Coturnix japonica: one gene and its partners. The protein of the gene in region 3 purifies or fractionates together with the protein of the main gene of each other region. This does not show direct contact. Links are inferred from orthologs where the notes say so. Each region holds a gene or a part of one and is shown on either strand. Other genes may lie near its edges. The genes, in order: ARL8B, VDAC2, RAB7A, PLEKHM1 and VDAC1.

Region 1 (4,449 bases), about 9.1 Mb from region 3:
TTCCTCTGATGACACAGCAATATGTCATTGGTAATTTAGGTAATTTGCAGCTTAGATAAATGATGCATTTATCCTAAATACACTCGGAATTGTGGTTTGTGTCGTTGGCTGTATCCAGACACTCTCCTCTCATGGTTTGTAGCCTGCAGAGAGTTTCCAGGAAATGTCTAGACACAGAAAGTGATGATCCGAGCCCTGTCTTTATGTGCTCTTTCTTCTAATATGGCCATCTGCAGCCCGGTCCTCCTCAGCTGCCAGCAACATCCTGCAATCCATGGCAGCAGTAATTGCATTGCTCCAAGTGCTCTGTGCCGCCGCAATAACGAGCACAAAGACTCCCAGGGTGCCTCTGCAGACAGCTGACAGCAGAATTGCAAAGCAGAGTCAAAGTCTAAAGACCTGAGAAACCCTGCATGGAACAGTCAATAAAGTGATGTGTGCCCAGCTTAGCACTCAGTGCTGAGCTCAGAGCAAGGGATTTGGGAGAAATCCCATCGCTTGTGGTAAAGGCAAAAAGCGTGCTGTTAATTCAGTGCAATGAATGGTATCATCCCTTTGCATTTAGACACGCAAATTTTGTTGCACCACAAATGATACGGCACAGACTTTACTGGGAGGAGCACTCAGAGTGTTCAAACGCAGACATATGAGAACCTGCAAACGCCTGCAACGCTCTGCAGCTTCCCCAGGCCTGCTGAACAGACACAGCATCCCCGCCTGCTGCTCTGCAAGCAGCTGATACCAATCACAGTCTGTTGTCTGCAAACACACCATGAATGAGAGATTTCCTCCACGTAGGATGTGCAGCCTGTGGGGAAGGAGGTTTCTCTGCAATACAGGGAAGGGGGCATTGTGTTGTTTTCAGCTGTGGAAGTTCTGGATCACTCCTGTGCTATTCTGTTTCAGCAGTGAATTAGCAAATTAGATTTGCTCCCAGGAGTGAAATGTGCATCTATCCTATAACTGACAACACGACCGCTGCATAAGATGCTGCACATCTGCTTCCACTGTGTGCTTCAGGAAACCTTTATCTCTGAATTGATGACAGCCAGCAGCATCTGGCTGCTTTGATCAGCTCTTAGCCGGCTCTGCAACCTGAGTGCGACTGCTTCACCTCCTGCACAGCCACAGGAAGAAGGGGACCTGGGGGGGCATTTTCTCCCGTGCTTCAGCAATTAACTGAATACAGCAATAAACGGAACACTGCCAGATCCTTCGGTGAGGGATGCACTGCTGCAGCAAACCTCAACCTGCTCCAGGAAGGGGCAGCTCAGGGGGCTCAGCGTCTCTTCAGATGGGGTCTGTGTTGACAATGGCGATGAGTTTCGATCTCCTGGGATACACCAGTTCTGTTCCTTGAATGCCGCATCTCCTCTTTGACACGCGGGCGGTGCGGGCACAACCCCGCCCCCTCTGTTAGTGATGGCCCCGCCCCGCGCCGCCCTCCCGCCGCCGGTCCTCCCGGGGCGCTGTTCTCACGGCTGCCGATAGGGGGCGCTGTGGGGCGCGGCCTGTCCTGGTGCGCCGCGCGAACCCGGCCGCGGCGTCATATGACCGAGGCGCGGGGGCGAGCCGGGCCGTGAGGGAGCGCGCGGTGCCGAGGAGCCGCCGGAGCCGAACCCGGTTCTCCCGCCAGTGCCCGGCCGTTCCGCCCCGCCGCAGCCATGTTGGCGCTGCTGTCCCGGCTGCTGGACTCATTCCAGGTGCTATTCTGGAAGGAGGAGATGATGCTGACCCTAGTGAGGCTACAGTACTCCGGCAAGACCACGTTCGTCAACGTCATCGCGGTGAGCGGGCGGGCCGGGGGCTGGGAGCCGGGCCGGGGGCTGGGAGCCGGGCCGGGGGTTGGGAGCCGGGCCGCCGCGTTGTCCCTGTGTCACGGGGGGGCACTGCGGCCTGGGGGCGGCCTGCACGGGGCTGGGCCCGGTGAGGTGCCCGTCCCCGGGGCGGCTGCGCTGCGGGCTGTGCAGGCCTCGGCCTCCGGGTGTCATCAGCTGCGCTCCCTGCTTGGTCTTTTCGGCGCTCATCAGTAAACGCTGTAGATGTTTCCCACCCCGTTGTTGTCCCTATTTTTTCTTTTTTTAATCCTGCGTCAATTCATGCACGTTATTGAGCTGTGTTAAGCAGTACAACTTCCAGGCCTTGCAGCAGCAGCCTGCTGAACCTGGGCCTGCTTATCAGATGCAGGAGGGGTGTGAGAGCCTTCCCTCCTACGCAGAGCTCTGCTGTTGCTGAGTGTGAAAAAGACTCCCTTGTTTAGATAGATTTGTGGCCCCTTCAGCGTCCTGTTCGGCAGAGCATTGACCAGGGGCAAGCTGCAATGTGTCAGCTGGTGGAGGGAGCTTGACACGGAGGTGAAGGTACCCTTTGCTTTGCAGGGAGCATGACTGGCTTGAATTGAATGCACCTAGAACAGAGGGCTGATGTGCTCTACTTCAGATTCAAGCGCACTTCAACTTCTTCTATGAGGCTGTGTACATTGAGGCTGTGTACACTGTTGAGTGTTTTTATATACGTATTTGAATGAGTAACTCAGTAGTAAAAGAGACACTGCCATTCTCATTTTGTTACACTTACCACGTCAAAACACAATGGAGCTCATGTGCAGTGCTTCGTGGCTGCTGTGATAATTACATAAGATGGTAAAAAGTGCCTCTTCTTCAGCCTGCTTGTATGAAGTGAAAGCTGCTGGACTCATGTGAGAACTCCAGAAGCCTTTTCTTTCACATGCTACTGGCTCTCCCTGCTTTTGGTCCTGGATTTATGCAGATGGAACTCAGCCATTGAACCATTCAGTCTGTGGTTGTCAACCTGATACTGATGTGTGGTTTTCAGCTGAACTCGAGCACTGGAATTACTTTGCAGGTTTTCACTCTTTTGCTGCCTAGGATGGTGATGGCACACATCAAGCTACTACTTTCTTGTGTTTTGGAGCTCAAGATGGTGTTGTTTGTGCTGTGGGCTGCTGCAGAGTTAATTGCACTGTGTCTTCAGCTGTCTAGATTGTCCCAGGTGGCAAAATTACTTAAAGCAAAGTTGACAACTGTGCCCAGCTTGCTTTGCTGGAGGTTGAAGCTTGCAAGGTTTTAACTGCTTATTAGGATCACACCCAGAAATTTATCTGAGTGAGTGTCATTCAAATTGGCTTGCAAAACCGAGTGAAATAAGGAAGTCATTATGTGTAAGGCACAGCATCGTTAACTGTTTTACGTTTGGGAGTAGCAAGTCACATCTCTGAAGCTTTTAATTAGGAAATCTGGTGACTCTCAGCAAAACAGAGTGAGGGGACTTGCTCATACCTTTAAAAAACTAATAGCATGGACTGTTGTCAGCATGATATTGCTTCTTACAGGAACAGTACTTTAGTCTACAGCATGAAGAGCTAACCTTGTGTCTTGTGCTGCCTGGACCTTAATTCAGAGTGTGTGTTAGTAGATCAGTGCTGGAGAAGAATACCTGCTCCCTGTAGACCGGTTAATGGCTTGGATGGAAGTAGCTGTTGTGTGCTGGGATTCCATAAAACTGAAATGAATGACACAGCACGGTGCTAGCCTGATAGAGCAGCTTTAAAAGCTGGATTGCATGGCAGGATGTGGCTCAGGGTGTTGCACTCTGCCTAACAAAAGAGCGTTACCAGTCTCTTGACAACATGAATTTAATCTAATGTAAATCTCTAATGTAATCTTCTGTCTTACGTGGGTACCCAATCAGATCAGGCACATGGAACTAAAGGAAATCTGAAGTCCATTACCTAGGAGGGTTGATACAACTCCCGGCTGCCTCTGAAGAGGAAATGCCATGGAGGGCAAAGAGTCTGGTTCTAGAATGTTCTTTCTAGGCTGGGAGCAGGATTTGCCTGTGTTTGTTCCTTCAGTGTGAAGAAGCTCTCAGTTTATAATCACACCAAACTTAGTTTGACTGGTAGGTTTAAAAAACATAGCAGTGAAATATAGTTGTAGCTGGATGCAGCTTCTGCTTTGCTAAGGCTCCCCATTAGTCACTGTCTCTAATTAGATATTTAGCATAAGTTTTCCATGTGCATGAATAAACTTGCTCACAAGGGAGGATGTCATTTCCTCCTGGTTTTAATTTCCATAATGTGGATGGCCTGTGGCTCCTTTCAGTGAAACTGCATGTCATCTCAGTATTATCACCTCTCGAATTGTGAGCTACTTATCTAAGGGCCTGGGATAGCCATTGTTTTCTGGAGTCTGCAGTATCTTCTGTTTGCATCTCTGCAGCCAGTGTCTGTCAGCAGGCTTTGATCAGACCCAGCAGAGCTGCAGGCCACGGCCACGCTGCCATGGGGAGATGGGACAGACAGCTGAGTTCCACTGTCATGTGATGCAACTGCAACGTGACTCAAGCAAACCGATGGCTTCCAGGCTGCAGGCAGTGCTGGTGAATGGTGGGACACCAATCAGCTTCAGAATGTACCTCATGGAAGAG
Region 2 (4,163 bases), on a different chromosome or scaffold from region 3:
TTTCTGCTTATTCACTGGCATTTCCCTGAGGTTACCTGGATATCCATCTATGTCAACTTATTTAAATGCATTGGTTTCTGCATGGGTCTGTTTTCTCCTTTGGTAGAAAAACAAACACTGCTTTGCTGCTTCTGAACTCGGTTCCTGCTAACTTTAACTATTTCCCACCTATTTTCTGCTGATTATAATTTTACCATCTGTGGTGAATGCTATCGGTCAGTTCCTTTTCAGGATAAGCCCTTGTTTATGCAGTTAGGCTTACCTTAAGGTTTCTTTTCCACTGTATTTTTAATCTTTGAAGGCTCAAATTTAGAAGGACAGATAATGACTGCAGGTTTGACCTAGAAGTGAATATAAACCTCTGATGGAAACTGGTGAGCACTACAGCTGTCTTTTTATTGGTTACATACATGTCTTCTTCAAGTAATCATGATTATAATGTATGGATAGACAGCAGCATTCACTGGGATTTTGTGTACTGCGGTCTCAGACAAAACTGTTTCACAAGGCAAGTGATTCAGAACTTCTTCCTTCAGGGTGGGGCAGTAAGTACTTCACTGGATTGCTTTAAAATGATAAAGCCGGACCATGACTAATATATATAAAAAAAAGCCACCCCACCATTCTGATGTAAGAAACTGAAATTCTATTCAGAATGAACTTGTATTATGAACAATTCATGCCACATTCATGTTCTTCCCCCTAACATCCAACCTAAAACAGAACTAGATGCTGATGGGCAGTTGGAATTTACTGCCGGTCAGCCTGCTTTAGTAACGGCTGAAAAAAAAAAGAAAACGGCTGCCGTACCATGTGTTGGAGGAAACCAGTAGTGCTTGTTAACGTGTATTTCATGTGATTCGAATATGATTTGACTCGCTTTCACTTTTCTGACGGGTTCTGACTGAGTACTTTTAAGGAGGCTGGGCCTGTGCCCACTTGTGCTGTGGCTGGTGACCGTTACGGGGCGGAAGTTTCTACTTGAGTTAGGCGGGCGGCTCGCAGGGCCTGCACCCGGTGTACGGGTCTTCCCTCGTGCGGGCCGCTGGACTGAGGAGCCGCCCGAGGCCTCGCTCCGCCCCGCGCGCTGCAGGGCCGCACCCGCTCTGCTGAGCGGCGGACGCGTCGCGGGTTCCAGGCGCGGCCGTTGCCGCCCTCCCGCGCAGGCCCCGCCCTCTCACGAGGACCCGTCTCCGCCTCTGGGGCTGCCGGAATTAGCGCCTGCCGGCCCACGTCGCTCCATCCCGGCTCCGCGCTGAGGGTACGGCGTTTCTCACGGCTGGAGCCTTGTGTTCCCGTGTGTGCCCGCGCTGGGGGTCTCTCGGGTCGGGCGGACGGGCGCGCGGGGCGCTCCGTGGGGACGGGCACCTCGCGGGACGGCCCCTTCTGACCGGGGTCCTGCGGGGCGGCGGCGGGCGGGCGGATCGGTGTCTCCTTCACTTCGCCCTCCAGTGCCAGCGGCTGCAGCAGCGCGGCCTCCTCACGGCCAGACCCGCCCGCGCCCCCGGTCCCGCTCCGCCCGGCCCCGCCGCTCTCTCGCGCTCGCCAGGTGCCGGCCCGGGGCTGGGCTCGTCCCGCGGTGCCGGGGGAGGCGGGTGGGGCGCGAGCGAAGGGCGGTGAGCGGGGCCGGGGCCGCGTTCCTCGTTGTCCCGCTGGGGGCGGTCGGGAGGGACGGGGTGTGGGGGGATCGGGACGGGGTCGGGACGCTCCGCCGCCCGCGATGGCCTCGGCCGTGCCCGGGCTGCGGTTACATAAGGGGCGGCCGTAGCGCCGGGGGTCAGGCGCGAGGCCCAAGATGGCCGCGCGGAGCGTTCACCTTGCGGCGGCAGCGGGCGCCGCGCGGCCCGGCCCGTAGCGAGAGGGGATCCGCGCTGCTTCGGTTTTGTGAGCACGGAGCGAACCGAGCGCTGTTTGACTCTCTCTCCCTTCTCCGTAGAGTCTGTGCATTGGCCTAGCTATGGCTACGTCGTCCGCGTGCCAGGCGTCGAGGTGTAAGTAGGGAGGTAGTTACAGCGAGGGTAGTAGTTCTCGTTTAGTAGCTCCGTAAGCGTAAAGGAGGTCAGCGTTAGATCGGACATGTTTTTAACGGTATTTTCAGTATCGGTTTATTGCTATTTTCAATGATAGGATACAATTTCACTTTAGTTGTTGCCGTTTAAAAGTATATATAAAAGTTTATATAATAAAAATATTATATATTTTAATACATAATACTTAAGTATTTTGTTCCTAATTCTGTGCCCTCTAGGCTGATCCTCAATGTCCTGAGGTCTGGAAATGGTTATTGAAGCCACTGGCATACCTTAATTACTAAGTGTGGGGCTCTTTCCAAGTATTGCCTCGAAAGAAAGCTGTGATGTAATACTTGTGACAGCCTTCACACATCTTGGCATTTCATTTTCTTTTTGCTTTGGAAGAAAGTATATTTAAGTAGCAGATTATTTCTTTTAGGTCTATATAGAAAGGGGGATAAAAAGAAAAAGTGGGATGCTTACCTGAAATAAGTATTTTCTATGTTCCTGAAATTAGGATATTTGATATCTACTGTCACAACAGGCTTGTAATTAAATTGTAGCTTTATTTTAGGTGCTTCTAATTAGTAAGAAGATGAAAGACGCTTCAAAACATGCTCGAATAAAATTGCTTCTCATCATAAGGATTTGCAAATCTAGTGAATTTTTCAACACTGGAAGAAACAGAATTGATATATTTTGGCCTTTAAAGAGCTTTCTGGTGGTGACCCCGGCTTACGGGGTGTTTTATGTACCCCCAAATAACATCTGCTTTTTCCTCTTGTGTCCCTGTCAGCGTATGAATTGAAACAGCAACGTGAAGGTCATAAGCTGTTTTAACTCCTTATCAGGAAACCTGGGCCTGTAGGCTGGAATGGCTGACAAGGATTAGTCAGTTTCCTGCAGTAGGGAGGATGCTTAACTTGGCCTGATAAAAACAGCAGTATCCTTTTATTGCAGTAATTCCACACATTTAGTTACAGGCAATTAAAAATATTATTTTTTAAACTTTAGGGCCTTAGCATAAATCTCTTGTCTATGATGAATATCTAGTCAGCTTGGGAACATTAAAGATGAAAGAAGTTTATACATACAGTCATATATTTTTATATGTAGTAGCCTTAAGCACAGACATGCATTTTGATACTTCTGAACTAGTAATAATTATTCTTCTGGAGACGGTAGTTGGACCTACTCAGAGGAAGAGTACATAGCTGAAACTTCTCAAAGCCCTTTTAAGCTACTAATGAACTGGACACCAGGGATTTGGAGTGAGAGAAGACCAGTGCTCCCACACTTTCTTCAAGTTTTGTCCTGCTTCTGTTACTTTTTATTGAATAAATCATAGAAACCATTTTGTCTCATCACTGGGACTCACATCTGTTTCTGCTATTGAATCATCTTTTCCTTAGGCTTATATTATTATTTATTTTTTTAAGAGTTTACTCCTCGCAAGAACGGATTTGTTTTATACTCCCCAGCAGGTGCTGGGTTGATTCCTTTACTGACTTCTGTGTAGAGTTTAGCGTTTCTTGCTGAAGAGGTTCTTGGTTTTTCTTTCAAACTAAGCTAAGCCTGGATGATTTTGCGATGATGCAGTTGAATTTTTCCTTTTGGGCTTTAGGAAGATGGAGAGAGGCACCTGGAAAAACTGTAGTAGATTATAGGAAACCAATGTTAAGGCACAAGACCTTTTTTGTACAATAAATGTTTTTAAAATAGTATTAGTTCATACAGTTAAGCTGCACATAGCAGTTATAATCAGTGTATATTATTTGTGGATGCTGTAGTTAAGCAGTCTGCTTTAGTGGAATGGTGCCCTTGGAAATAATTCTGGGACAGGTGTTTTCAAGCAAGTTTTCTTGTTTTGTTGGTAAGGCCAGAAAATACAGACTTTTAATTAAAAAAAAATGGGGGAGTGCTGGGAGGGAAGAGCCTGCTTTGATCCCATGTGACTAATGTACTGAACTTGTAGAGATCTGCAGGAGGTGAATAATTCTATAGTCAGAGGATGATAATTGAAATCTGGTTAAAAGTGCTTTATAAGAATGGAAAGCGTGTTCAGTTGAAAATTAATATACAAGAGTATGATCTTTGTTTTAGAATCTGAAGGTGTTTTTTGAAACAAAACCCACAGAGGAATGAGATAGT
Region 3 (4,183 bases):
GGATGCTGGATTGCTGTCAGACGAGCAGCATACAAGGCATAAACATACCAGCACTCAGTCAGTTCAGCACCCAAGTTCATTTTCATCTACATCCCCTTCTACCAAGAGGATCTCAGTACCAGCAGGCCTAGCAATAAGAGCTTCAGAGTGGGTCAGGTCACAGCCACGGGGAAGCCCAGGAGGCAGAGAACACTGGTAAGCACCAAACTCTCACTTAACACAGTTCAATTCTGTTACTAAAGAAACTGGTATGCTACAACAGGAGGGACTGCAAGCATCTGTGAGCCCAGGCAATCATAAGCTCATTCCAAAAATGCAAATATCCCAGTGCCTTATTCCACAGCCTTCATTCTAAGGCCAGGTACCAAGCACCATCTCTGGATGAAACATTTGAAAGAACATCCTCACCCAGCACAAGCGGTTTAGTTTACAGTCAAATGTTCAGTTCCACATGAGCTAGTCTCGTTCTTGCAGAGAAGTCAGACTAAAAACTCATACATGTTAGAAACAAATCTATATATAGTTTTGCACAGATGGTTTGATCTTAATTGTCATGTTTCCTCAAGGACAAGCTTCGCCAGAGATTCGCTCTGACAGGTAATTCAAATGACCTTCCAAGTCAACAGCAGTAGCTTTAAAAAGGCATTTCAGAAATTCAATCTGCTAAACCTTTTGGCCCACAGACGTTGGTTTTGGGGTAGAAAACAAAGGAAGATATTATCACACAGCAGAGATCCAACAGCAGAGTCTGTATGCTTTCCATTTACAATTCAGGACTCACCTGCATCACAACACATCTGTGCTGCTCTGGGTAGCGGCTGATACACTGAATTTGGCAGAAAGGAAAGGATGACTGTAACACAGTCACTGCAACAGTTATTTAAGCTTTTACCTTGGCATCTTTCCATTTTAAGGTGTAAGTCTCAGTGTGCCATGCTGAACTATTAATAGAGTATTTGAGGACACTGGCCACTGCATGACACCACGGACAAAAAGGAAGTTGAATTAAATGAATTTCAGACCTTAGCAGTTATACCTCATGCTGCACATTAAGAAAGCAAGAAACTGCTAGTGGATTTTTCAGAGCCTTCCCTATTGAGAGGTCAGATCTGACAGTTTTCCTACACCAGGAATATTAGCATAACAGCACAAAAGAAAGGGCAGCATTTTGAAGTGGCAGTATTAGAGCTACTTTGGGTTCTAAGGACTCAGGCATGGTGAGCCTGTTCATTAGTTCATGGAGAGCAAGTCATGTGTTCAGTCAGCTGTTGAGAGTCACAAGGAGGGGGGGGGGGAAGAGACAAGTATACTTGTTCTTCCTGAAGAAGTACAGCAATGAAGCTCTGATTATTAAACAAGGAATATTCAAATGGCTCCACCCAACACAACCTCGAATCTATCTCCTAAGTGCAGAGTACATTCACTTCAGCAGCCCAGCCCATCTGAAAGCACAGCAAGGCTGCAGCCTCTATCATGCATCACTAGTACCACCACTGATCACACACAGAACAACCACAAGGGAGCCCTGAAATCACAGCCAAGCACTACACACAGCTGGCAGGTAACTCCCCACTTTCCCAGCACAAGCCCACACCAAAAGGCACAGCTCAGAGCTGGCCAGCCAGGTGCTGGAAGCTTTAACATTTCCAATTCACAATTATCAAACAAAGAACAGCTTGCTTACAGCTGGGAGGACTTTGTTCTATCATGTGTTCTCAGTTTACTCATAAAAAAACCCAACACATATCCCAACAGCTCTGCTTATCAGCAAGTATTTTTAGCCTGCAGGAAAACAGTGTTGAGAATTCAATCTTTTACTCAAAGAACTCAGAGCTACTGGTTAAGATGTATTCATTCTGATGCAGTTAACTCTCTTCCTCCAGATTATGGCACTTATTTTTTTAAGCTGCCTTACTACTATAAGAAATCCACTATTTACAAGGAAGAAAACACATTTCACTTTAACACAACGATTAAGTATTCCTATATTCATTAGCCTCAATATACCTGAGCCATTAATAATGCATCCATCATTTCATTTACCTTATTATACTCCGAACAAAAAGCACTTCCAACATCCATTCCCACACTCCTTCGAACTGACTCAGGCTTTGCACACGCTGAGAGCTCCTTTCGCAATAACTGCCAGCCCTCCCAGCCTCACATTTGGCAGCATTAAATGCTCCCTAAGCAGCCCGCTTGTCTCTAAAGCAGCACCCAATGCCCTCTCCATCCCACCTGAAGCACAGTCACCATCTGACCACCCAACCCTCAGCACTGGGGGCAGCCCCAGCTCCGAGCCCATAGCGCAGCACGCCACATGCCACACACACAATGCGCTCTGCTTCTCCATGGACCACCGCATGGCTCTGACAGCGAGGACACCCACACACCCGCCTTTAGAAGCTCACAGCCCAAGGAAGGCCTCGGTAGCGCCGTGCCCGAGGCTCTGGGCGGAGGAGCCGTTTGCTAAGGATCCCTCAGCTCCATTGTTCCGGGGGAAGCGCCGATCCCGGCCCCAGCTCGACACAACAGCCCAGTATTACACTGAGAGCGAGCAGCTGCCACGGCGGCACCGGGCCCAGCACAAAGGCGGCGCCCCCCATACCCAGCCGGCCCCAGCGGCCCCTCCAGCCGGAGGGAGGGGCCTGAGAGGCCACCCCCCGCCCTGTAGTAACAGCAGCTGGGCCGGAGCCGGCACCCCCCGCCCCGAACCCTATGGCAGACACCCACACAGCCCCGTACTGACCGTGGTGCGTGTGGCCGCAGCGCCCGCCCGATCCTGGCTGTGCCTCCCCCGCTCGTCTCGCTCGGCTTTATCGGGCCCAACCACCTCCCCGCTTTCACTTCCGCCTCCCCCCCCTCAACAACTTCCGGTCACGGGGTCCGCCCGGTGTCATGACGTCATCACGGCGCCGGCAGCCAACGGGAGGGGGAGGGAAGGGAAGAAGGGGGAGGGAAGGAAAGGAGGGGGAGAGTGTCACGTGATCGCTCGCTGCCCGCCGCCATCTTGTGCTGGTGGGGAGGGGGGAGCGGGGTCGTTCCAGTTGGAATGATTTGATTGTACATTTCACTTTTCTTCCTTATTACACAATACAAAAAGCAATCAAGGGCCGTGGGTAACATTTCCTCCTTCCCTCTCTATCACAGAGCGATCCTGCCGCCCATCTCTGACGTTATTTAGTTACACAGAGGATAACCTTGCATTGAGTTAATGGCTTTCTTGGCGTGTCCCACAGCTGTGTCTTGCAGCAGCCACCTCTGGTCCATTGTGGGACATTGAAGAACACAGGAATCCTGGCTCTCAGAAGCATCACTGCCTGCAGAGAGAGCCTTATGGTCTGGGTGCTTGTCATTGGGCACAGATGGCAGCTAGATATTATAGCAAACAGACATTTACCACTGCAGGAACCTCAGCATATTTCATGTGCTGAACCAGGAAGTAAGAACGTCTTCAGCTTTGATTTGTTCCCTTTGTGACATCTAATCTCTATTTGCTTGTCTGTGCCATCCAATGAGGGATAATAAAACATCATCTCTTTGGTCCTTGGACTGGAAGGGATCCTCCCTTCCTCTTGCCAGTCCATACAGTGGCACAGTGAGCAGAAACAGCATGGACACAAAAAGATTCACCGTGTGCTGATTGCAGAGAGGTCCAGGAGCCAACCTGTACATTGACTTAGCTGATGTTCCTTGTAGTTTCTAATGCACTCACCCACTTCCCATGGACATACAGCCATCCCACCTTGAACCATCTGCGATGTTAAAAGCTTAGAGGGAACCTGCTCATTCTTCTAGTACTTGCCCAGACTATTTCAGCTCACCAGAGTCCTGTGTTCCCTCTTCCTCATTGCTGCTCACAGCACTGGGACCCTTTGTTGCCTCTTAGGTCTGGAAAGATAAAGCTCCAGCTGACCATCCTGTCATCCCTGTGTGAAGCTGTCCTCTCAAGAGCTTTGCAATGTTTTTCTCTTGCCCTCTTTTGCTTTCCAGGCCAGTTTCCTCAAAAAAACTCATCGTAATGTCAGAACTTGCTAAAATAAAATTGAAAAAAAAAAGGAACTAAGCTGCAGCAAACACACAATATCTTGTTTTTGTACTCCAAGCTAAACCAGATTCACCCTGCTGCTTCTGGCATTCTGTCCACTAGAAATCTTCTGCTCTTACATGACCACATAAGCAT
Region 4 (3,717 bases), on a different chromosome or scaffold from region 3:
CATTAGCAGAGCACTCCAGGTTGCAATTAAGTGGATGCTGCAGCTTTCTGGAGGGTGATGGGGTGGCCCTGGCTCTCCCTGGAGCAGACACCGACCCACCGACGCTGCATTGGTGGTTTTAGAGAAGTGAAGCCATTAAAAATAGAACCCGGAGTTTTCCTGTCCCCATGACTCCGTTGGGATGGAGCAGCTGTCAGAGCGCTGCAGCTCGTCCCCAGGAGCTCAGCCAGGTTCTCCTGGGGCTGCACATCTCAGTGTTTGCTTCTCCCATCCCCGGTGATGGGGTGGGCAGGGGGGAGTACATTGTGCTGCTGTGATGTCCTAAATGAAGGGCAGGGGGGAATAAACACTTTAAATCCATAGAGGCACAGTTTGGTAGGGACCTCAAAGATCACAGAGCCATGGAATCACAGCATGGATGGGTTGGAAGGGACCTCAAAGATCATAGAGCCATGGAATTGAGGTTGGATTGGGTTGGGTTGGGTTGGAAGGGTCCTTGAAGGTCAAAGAGCCATGGAGTGGGTTGGGTTGGGTTGGGTTGGGTTGGGTTGGGTTGGAAGGGTCCTTAAGGATTGTAGAGCCATGGAGTGGTTGGGTTGGGTTGGGTTGGGTTGGGTTGGGTCGGAAGGGACCTTAAGGATCATAGAGCCATGGAATGGCTGAGTTGGGTTGAGTTGTGTTGAGTAAGATTGGGTTGGAAGGGGCCTTAAAGATCATCTAAATAATGGATTAAAAGTGAGATGGGTTCAGGAACGGTCACGATGCCTCGTGTGTGACGTTGGTCTGTCATGGTCTAACTGAACCCCAAGCCCCCTGGCACATGCTTTACCGCTCATCCACCCCCCTCCCAGGTTTTCCTGCCCCATGTCTCACCCCACATCTCCCCCCAGCTCCAGGGGTCCCCTCTTACCTTCTATTCTCTGCTCCCCAAAGGCTGCTCCAGGCAGATCGGCTTCTCCTTTGCCAAACCCAAACTCTGCTCCTACTCCGGGCTCTACTACTGCGACAGCTGCCACCGGGACGACGAGCTGGTCATCCCCTCCCGCCTCATCCACAACTGGGACCTGAGCAAGAGAGGGGTGAGCAGGATGGATCCATGCCTGGGGGGGACCTGGGGGTCCCTCTGTGTGACCCCTCACCCTCTGTGTGCCGTAGGTTTGCCGTCAGGCGCTGAAGTTCCTCACCCAGATCCGTAAGCAGCCGCTGATTGATCTCAAGTTGGTCAACGAGAGCCTTTATGACCACGTGGAGAGGATGAGGCGCATCCGCCAGAGCCGGGAGCAGCTGAAGCTGTTGGGGGATTATTTGAGTGTGTGTCGCAGTGGGGCACTGAAGGAGCTGAGCAAGCGGTGAGCAACACGAGGGCCTGGTGCTGGGGGCTGCCTCGCTTCATCTGTCACCATTGCTGCCATTGTGGGGTTAAAGGGGACCTCAGAGGTTGGAGAACTGTGGGGTCATGGCGTGGTTGGATCAGAAGGGACCTTAAAGATTGTAGAATTATGGAATCATGGTGAAGTTGGGTTGGAAGGGACCTGAAAGATGGGAGAGCGATGGAACCAGGGCACGGTTGGATTGGAAGGGTCCTTAAAGACTGCAGAATTATCATGGTGCAGTTGGGTTGGAAGGGACCTAAAGATGGGAGAGCGATGGAATCAGAGAATGGTTGGGTTGGAAGGGACCTTAAAGATTGCAGAATTATGGAATCTTGGTGAAATTGGGTTGGAAGGGACCTAAAAGATGGGAGAGCGATAGAATTGGGGCATGGTTGGGTCAGAAGGGACCTCATAGATCACAGACCTTCCTCCCCACATCTGCGCTGTCAGATGGAAGCTGTGCCCCCCATCCTGCCCCCACCAAACCACGCTGCCCCTGACCCCCCCAGGCTCTACCAGCCGTTCCTATGGGATATGGGCTGTTCTCCCCCCCATGGAATCTGCTGGAGGAAGCTCCCCGTGTGTCCGTGGGGCGGCGCAGGGGGATGGGCCGGAGGAAGCTCTTTCCTGGCTGGGGCTGAACAGGAAACACCTGGGCAAACAGATGAGAGCGTTTCTTTTTCCCCCTTTTGAAATGCTCCCAAACAATTTTCAATGGCAGGATCTGCGATGCCTTGACTTGGCGCGGCGTCAGCTTGACGCTCCCCAGGAGCCTTCATCACCCCGCGGGCTCTTCCTCACCCCTCCGGGATGTGGGAAGCCCCCACCCAGCTCCTCTCTGTGCTTATTTACAGCCTCGATGACAGGAATTACCTCCTGGAGTGCCCCCACAAGTTCAGCGTGGCCGACCTGCAGCAGGTGAGCGCCCCAAGACGTGTGTCCGTGGGGGGCTGATGGAATGGGGGGCTGATGGAATGGGGCCCTTCTGCAGATGTGGGTTTCACACCACTGCGTTCCTCTTCTCTTTGTTTCCTGTTATCACTGTGGCTTTGGGGCTGAAATCATGGGGGTGGGATGGGATGGGTTGAAATGGGATGGGATTGGTGGGGTTGGGATGGGATTGGTTAGGTTGGGATTGAATTGGTTGGATTGGAATGGGATGGGGTTGGTTGGGATGGGATTGGTTGGGTCGGGATTGGTTGGGATGGGGTTTGTTGGGATGGGATGGGATGGGGTTGGGATGGGATGGGATGGGATTGGTAGGGATGGGATTGGGGTAGGTTGGAATGGGTCTGTGTTGAACTGGGATGGGGTTGGGATGGAATGGGTGGAGTTGAGGGATTGGATTGGAGTGGGATGGGGTGGGTTGAGTGGGACTGGAATAGGTGGGAATGGGATGGGTTGTTGGATGGGGTTGTGTTGGGGTGGGCTGGGATGGGCTGGGGATGGGATGGATGGAGTTGAATGAGGTTGGGTTGAAGTGGGATGGGTTGAATGGAGTGGGTTGAGTGGGGATGGCGTGGGATGGTGTTGGGGTGGAATGGGGTTGGGATGGGATCTTTTGGGATGGCGTTGAGGTAGGATGGCGTTGGGATGGAATGGATTGGGGTGGGTTGAATGGTGTGTGGATGGGATCAGTTGGGATGGTGCCGTGGTGGGAGGGATTGGGATGGGACTGAGATGGGACTGAGATGGGTGGGCTTGAGTGGGATTTGGGTGGGATTGGGTTGGGGTGGGTTAGGTTGGAGCGGGTTGGGGTGTGATGGGATGGGATTGGTTGGGGTGGGTTGGGATGGGATTGGGGTGTGATGGGATGCCTTGGAGGGGGACCTCATGCTCCAAGCACTGCAGGACCATTTGCCCCCATTGAGGCCCATAATAACCCAGCCGTGCCCCACAGATTTCCGACGGCACCTTCGAGCCCTTCCTGCTCTCCGCGATCCAGTTTGCGTCTCACCACGTCTACAGCTGCGACCTGTGCACACAGAGGGGCTTCATCTGCCAGATCTGCGCCCGCGGCGCCGCCATCTTCCCCTTCCAGATGGACTCCACTTCCAGGTGGGCTCCAAATCCAGGTGGGCTCCATTATTCCCAGATGGGCTCTATATCCATAGGGTCTCCATTCCCAGGTGGGCTCTATATCCAGGTGGGCTCCATTATTTCCATGGGGGCTCCATTTCTATGTGGGCTCCATGATTTCCAGGTGGGCTTCAAATCCAGATGGGCTCCACTCCCAGGTGGGCTCCATGTCCAGGTGCGCTCTATATCCATAGGGTCTCCATTCCCAGGTGGGCTTCAAATCCAGGTGGGCTCTATATCCATGGGGGCTCCATGGGTCGCTGGG
Region 5 (4,379 bases), on a different chromosome or scaffold from region 3:
AAGGGGTCCCCCTCTGCTCAGCAGTTACGAGCTATTCCTTCAGGCATAATGGCTTTCAACTTTGTCATGCTGTAGTAGTTCCAAACATTGTACGATTGGCTTTTGCTATAAAATGCAGTCGTTACTATTACTCCTGATTAAAGCGACAGCAGGAAATAACATCAGAGCATTACAGCGGGCTCTGAGCCCCTGCTGCTGTTCCTTGGGTCCCTGAGGGTCTGTTATGTGGTCATTGTTACTATGAGTGGATGATGGATGATCTTCAAGAGGGCGCCTTGTTTGCTTGTTTAGTATTCGTACTCTAACAACTGATGGGCAAAAATGTAAATGCGTGATATGAACAGCAATGTTAATTATCGCTATTAATGGCTTAGCTGGGGGCTTATGGCATGTTTCAACTTTGAAGCACATAAAATCCAGGAAACTGTTGTATTTGGAATTTGCATGACTGGCGTGCAGGGTCATTATATCTAGGCAGTTTGGTGTATCAAAGGGTGCTGTGGCATGCCTGATGAATGAACTAGGTGGGGCTGGAAGCATCACCTTCTGTTCTGCCTGCTTCACAGGGCAGCCAGGGGCCTGAGCAAGTTGCTTTCCTTAATGGTGCCTTAATATCTGCATTTCCATAGAGGGGTCATGTTTTTGATCTATGTATGAAAAGTGTCATTATTATGACTAGAATTAAAGGGAGCTTCGATTTATTTACTTATTTAAAATAACTTTAACCTAATGTAATAATACATGATCACTAAAGGGAGGCAGGGCTGGATAATCTCTAGTTCTAAATATGGTTTTCCTTTCTTTTGGAGCTTAGCTCAGACCGCCCCTCACTAATGTTGCAGGTCAAGACAGAGCTGTATGGGAACCTTGCACAAAATCTGCCTGTGTAACCAGCTCTCCTCAGTCCTTTTTAATTCCTCCTTTTCTTGAGAGCCAAGCACATGAAGTTATGTGTGAGCTTCAGTCTTATCTGAAGAAAGTATTGTAGCCTTTTTCAGGAAGAATTGCTCTGACAGTTTAAAAAGCTGCTGCTATGGCTTCAGCTTTGAAATAGGCTGTCACTGTGCAACTGTTGTGAACCAGCGCTGTGCCTAAGAGGTAAAAGTGGCCTTTTAAAATCACAGAATCACAGAATTGTAGTGGTTGGAAGGGACCTCTAGAGATCATTGAGTCCAACCCCCCTGCCAAAGCAGGCTCCCTACACCACGTATGGTGGGTGGGGTGGTTGCATGTTGTGCAAATAGAGATCGAACTGAAGAAAAAGAAAAGCAAAAGGCAATTGCTTTGGGATACAGTTCAAACCTGCACTGCTGTGTGCCTTCCAGGAATGATGGAACAGAATTTGGAGGCTCCATTTACCAGAAGGTGAATGATAAACTGGAAACTGCTGTGAATCTTGCTTGGACAGCTGGTAACAGCAACACTCGCTTTGGAATAGCAGCCAAGTATCAGATTGACCCAGATGCGTCTTTTTCTGTGAGTGCCATACATTTATAAGCATTTGAATAACCAGTTTCTTGTAATAGGAACGTGAAGCAACTTTACATCAATGAGTAAAGTCCTTTGGAGGCAGTTCGCTGCTATGTGCCAATTCTGTTGCCTATTCCATTGGCACATGCTTCTGCTGGTCTCCCTTTTGGCCACACGGGAGCACAGTTATTGGATTTCCCTCAAAACTGATACAGAATGGTTTATTGTATTTATTGGGCACTGCTTGGAGAAATTTCCAGTCCATATTTTGGACAAAAATTACAAACATGGTCAACTATAGCACAGTTTCAGTGACTGTGGATGTGGACTATAGGTATATTGATTCTGCAGTTAAGTTTCAGTGAACTGTAGATTATTTTTGTGTGTGTGATCTGTTATTTATGCATTTAAAAGGCAATACATGATTTCCAAGTGAGTAGGGTTCTGAAGGAAGATAACAGATGATTTACGTGTGTTGTTTTTCTCCATCCAGGCTAAAGTGAACAACTCCAGTCTGATCGGGCTGGGATACACTCAGATTTTAAAGCCAGGTAAGTCTGTGCAGAAGAAATCCAGAAATACACAAATAGTATTTCAGTCTTGAAATATCAGAGAGGCTTTTTGCAACAGTACGTGGTTGGTTTCGTAACACTGCTGTTCTGTGTGGCAACCCAGTGGTGAACTTCACCACAGACTGCTCTGTTAGTTTGGGATGTCTGTTGGGATCAGAATTGCTAGACCACCAACCACTGTCCATTAGGTTCTCTTCTCTTAACACCAAGTCATGTCACTGAGTTTCTTTGCATGAAAATGTGATGTTCCCAAGGCCTGCTGGTTCAGGAAGAGGGCAGTCTTACAGCTGCCCAGTTGGTTTTAATGTAGTCTAAAAGATCTGCTGCCACAATACCATGCAGGTTGATTACTGCATCAGGTGTGGCTCAGGGCTTTTCATCCCAGTGTTTTAAAGAGGGTGAATAAGAGTCAAGGTCCCAGATTTTCATCATACCTGAGTCTAAAATTAGATTCATCTGTAGGCCAAAGGCAATGAACTCAACTGACATGTATGACAAAAAGTAAAATCTACCTGGTTTGTTTTATCCTGACTTTGAGAATTCAGAAAGATTTAATACTTGCTGACAGCCTGATAAAGTCCAGACGTTTACATGGCTAGCTGCCAAATGACATGAATGCAGCCACTCAGTCCATTACAGCAGCAATGCAGACACTGCAGTTACTGAACATAAGGCTCATTCCAAGTGTTAATCACTGTCTTCTCTCTTGCTTCTCTCTGCAGGTATCAAGCTGACGTTGTCAGCTTTGTTGGATGGCAAGAATGTCAATGCAGGTGGTCACAAACTTGGTCTAGGATTGGAATTTGAAGCATAAAGAGAGATTCTACAATCGTTAATTTGAGAATACAGCATAGCTACCTTCAGAATATAGTGTACCTTTCAATGTTGTATGTCTGGGATGCAAGTAATGCTAAGTATCAGTCCTGCTAGTCCTGGTTAAAGACAGCTAAGCTTTAAAATGTTTCAGAAATGGAGACAAAAAGCATTCTAAGAAATCCAGATTCCAGGCTTTTATTTTTTTTCCTGTTTTGGGTTGTTATTGCCCATCTTATCCGTCAGCTGCCGCATGATAGCAAACAGGGAAGGTATTATTACCTATACTAACATATTGACTGCACAAGGGATATGTTAGCGTGATACAAGAACTGTTATGTCAAGAGTTGCAGACCACTGTTGTACTGTTAATTCCTTATGCAAAATGCTCTGAAGGCCTCATTTCACTGTGGAATGTGCAAACTTGCCTGGAAAAAGGGATAATTTTTATGTTCTGATGGGTGTTTCACAAATGGTTCGTCTCGTTTGGTTCCTTTACACCTCCAGCTGTCTCCAGAACGCTTTAGGTCGTCTGTTTGTGTGACTCTGTTGCCGAGAAGGATTTGATGTGACTCAGCCAATGCTCCTTGTCCTGTGCTGTGGTTCCTTTCCCTTGCACTGAATGGAAGGCTTGTAAGACAGGGCTGTAATCAGGGAAGTGTTTGTACCTGCAATCACATAATTGTGTCACTAAATTGAAAATGGACTTTTGTTTTATTACCACTTGATTTTGTTTGTTTATTTTTTTTTAGCAATTAAATGGGTACATTTTTAGAGTCTTCCATTTTGTGTGGAAATAGACCCCGAAGTGCTGTACCTGACACTACTCAAACCGGAGACGAAACAACCAAACCCAAACTTGAATAAAACATTGAAACATCACTTTTTACTTTGGCTTTGTGTATGATCTGTGCCCATCGCTGTGTTTCTTTGGACCTGCAGGGCTCCAAGCTTTTGCTTTTTGGCATTAAAGTCAAGCAGCCATCCCGCAGCTGAGGGAAGGCCACTCCTATTCCTGTCAGGGCTCTCCGCTTTCCCGCCTTCCCGCGCGCCGCCATTTTGCCGCACAGCGCATGCGCGGTGGTTACACCAGAGAGCAGGCCTTCATTTCTGCGCATGCGCATCGCCCTCCCAGCGCCGGGGCGGTGCTGCCGCCACGTCTGTGGGAGTGCCCGGCAAGATGGCGCCCGGCAAGATGGCGGCCGCCGGCGGTGTGCGCTGCTCGGCGGGTCGCGCGCTGTGCGTCCTCCTGCTGTGCGGCTGGGCCATGGCGGAGCGCGGCGTGCAGACCCGCGGTGAGCTCGGCGGGGGGGGGCGGGCACTGAGGGCGCACATTTGTGGGTTTGGTTATTTATCATCGTGTTTCGGCCTAAAAGCCGGTCCGGTCCCGTCCGAACTGCCCGCCCCGCGCTCCTTCCCTTCTTGCTTTCCTCAGTGTTCTCCGTTGTGTCGTGATACGTTCTGCTCTGTGCTCTGTCCGCTTCTGTTGCTCTCCACGCTGTTCCTCATCGCTCCGAAAGCACT

The links.
Region 1: the proteins of RAB7A (region 3) and ARL8B purify together in Homo sapiens (affinity purification with mass spectrometry; 4 studies listed by BioGRID and IntAct, with this or other methods). This does not show direct contact. The link is inferred for Coturnix japonica from reciprocal best matches to the Homo sapiens genes RAB7A and ARL8B.
Region 2: the proteins of RAB7A (region 3) and VDAC2 purify together in Homo sapiens (affinity purification with mass spectrometry; 3 studies listed by BioGRID and IntAct, with this or other methods). This does not show direct contact. The link is inferred for Coturnix japonica from reciprocal best matches to the Homo sapiens genes RAB7A and VDAC2.
Region 4: the proteins of RAB7A (region 3) and PLEKHM1 purify together in Homo sapiens (affinity purification with western blotting; 5 studies listed by BioGRID and IntAct, with this or other methods). This does not show direct contact. The link is inferred for Coturnix japonica from reciprocal best matches to the Homo sapiens genes RAB7A and PLEKHM1.
Region 5: the proteins of RAB7A (region 3) and VDAC1 purify together in Homo sapiens (affinity purification with mass spectrometry; 3 studies listed by BioGRID and IntAct, with this or other methods). This does not show direct contact. The link is inferred for Coturnix japonica from reciprocal best matches to the Homo sapiens genes RAB7A and VDAC1.

Annotation. Positions count from the first base shown.
Region 1 is NC_029527.1:15,955,016-15,959,464, forward strand, and holds the start of ARL8B (ADP-ribosylation factor-like protein 8B), read left to right. Parts: upstream 1-1,533; 5' UTR 1,534-1,664; coding exon 1,665-1,787; intron 1,788-4,449. UniProt on the Homo sapiens protein: Small GTPase which cycles between active GTP-bound and inactive GDP-bound states.
Region 2 is NC_029521.1:12,479,398-12,483,560, reverse strand, and holds the start of VDAC2 (voltage-dependent anion-selective channel protein 2), read left to right. Parts: upstream 1-1,162; 5' UTR 1,163-1,261; intron 1,262-1,416; exon of another isoform or gene 1,417-1,549; intron 1,550-1,936; 5' UTR 1,937-1,957; coding exon 1,958-1,991; intron 1,992-4,163. UniProt on the Homo sapiens protein: Non-selective voltage-gated ion channel that mediates the transport of anions and cations through the mitochondrion outer membrane and plasma membrane.
Region 3 is NC_029527.1:6,808,719-6,812,901, forward strand, and holds the start of RAB7A (ras-related protein Rab-7a), read right to left. Parts: upstream 2,882-4,183; 5' UTR 2,750-2,881; intron 1-2,749.
Region 4 is NC_029542.1:1,116,862-1,120,578, reverse strand, and holds part of PLEKHM1 (pleckstrin homology domain-containing family M member 1), read left to right. Parts: intron 1-933; coding exon 934-1,079; intron 1,080-1,155; coding exon 1,156-1,349; intron 1,350-2,227; coding exon 2,228-2,291; intron 2,292-3,273; coding exon 3,274-3,431; intron 3,432-3,717. UniProt on the Homo sapiens protein: Acts as a multivalent adapter protein that regulates Rab7-dependent and HOPS complex-dependent fusion events in the endolysosomal system and couples autophagic and the endocytic trafficking pathways.
Region 5 is NC_029528.1:2,129,648-2,134,026, reverse strand, and holds the end of VDAC1 (voltage-dependent anion-selective channel protein 1), read left to right. Parts: intron 1-1,325; coding exon 1,326-1,476; intron 1,477-1,963; coding exon 1,964-2,021; intron 2,022-2,764; coding exon 2,765-2,856; 3' UTR 2,857-3,738; downstream 3,739-4,379. Other genes in the region: C13H5orf15 (keratinocyte-associated transmembrane protein 2), read left to right, coding at 4,036-4,150. UniProt on the Homo sapiens protein: Non-selective voltage-gated ion channel that mediates the transport of anions and cations through the mitochondrion outer membrane and plasma membrane.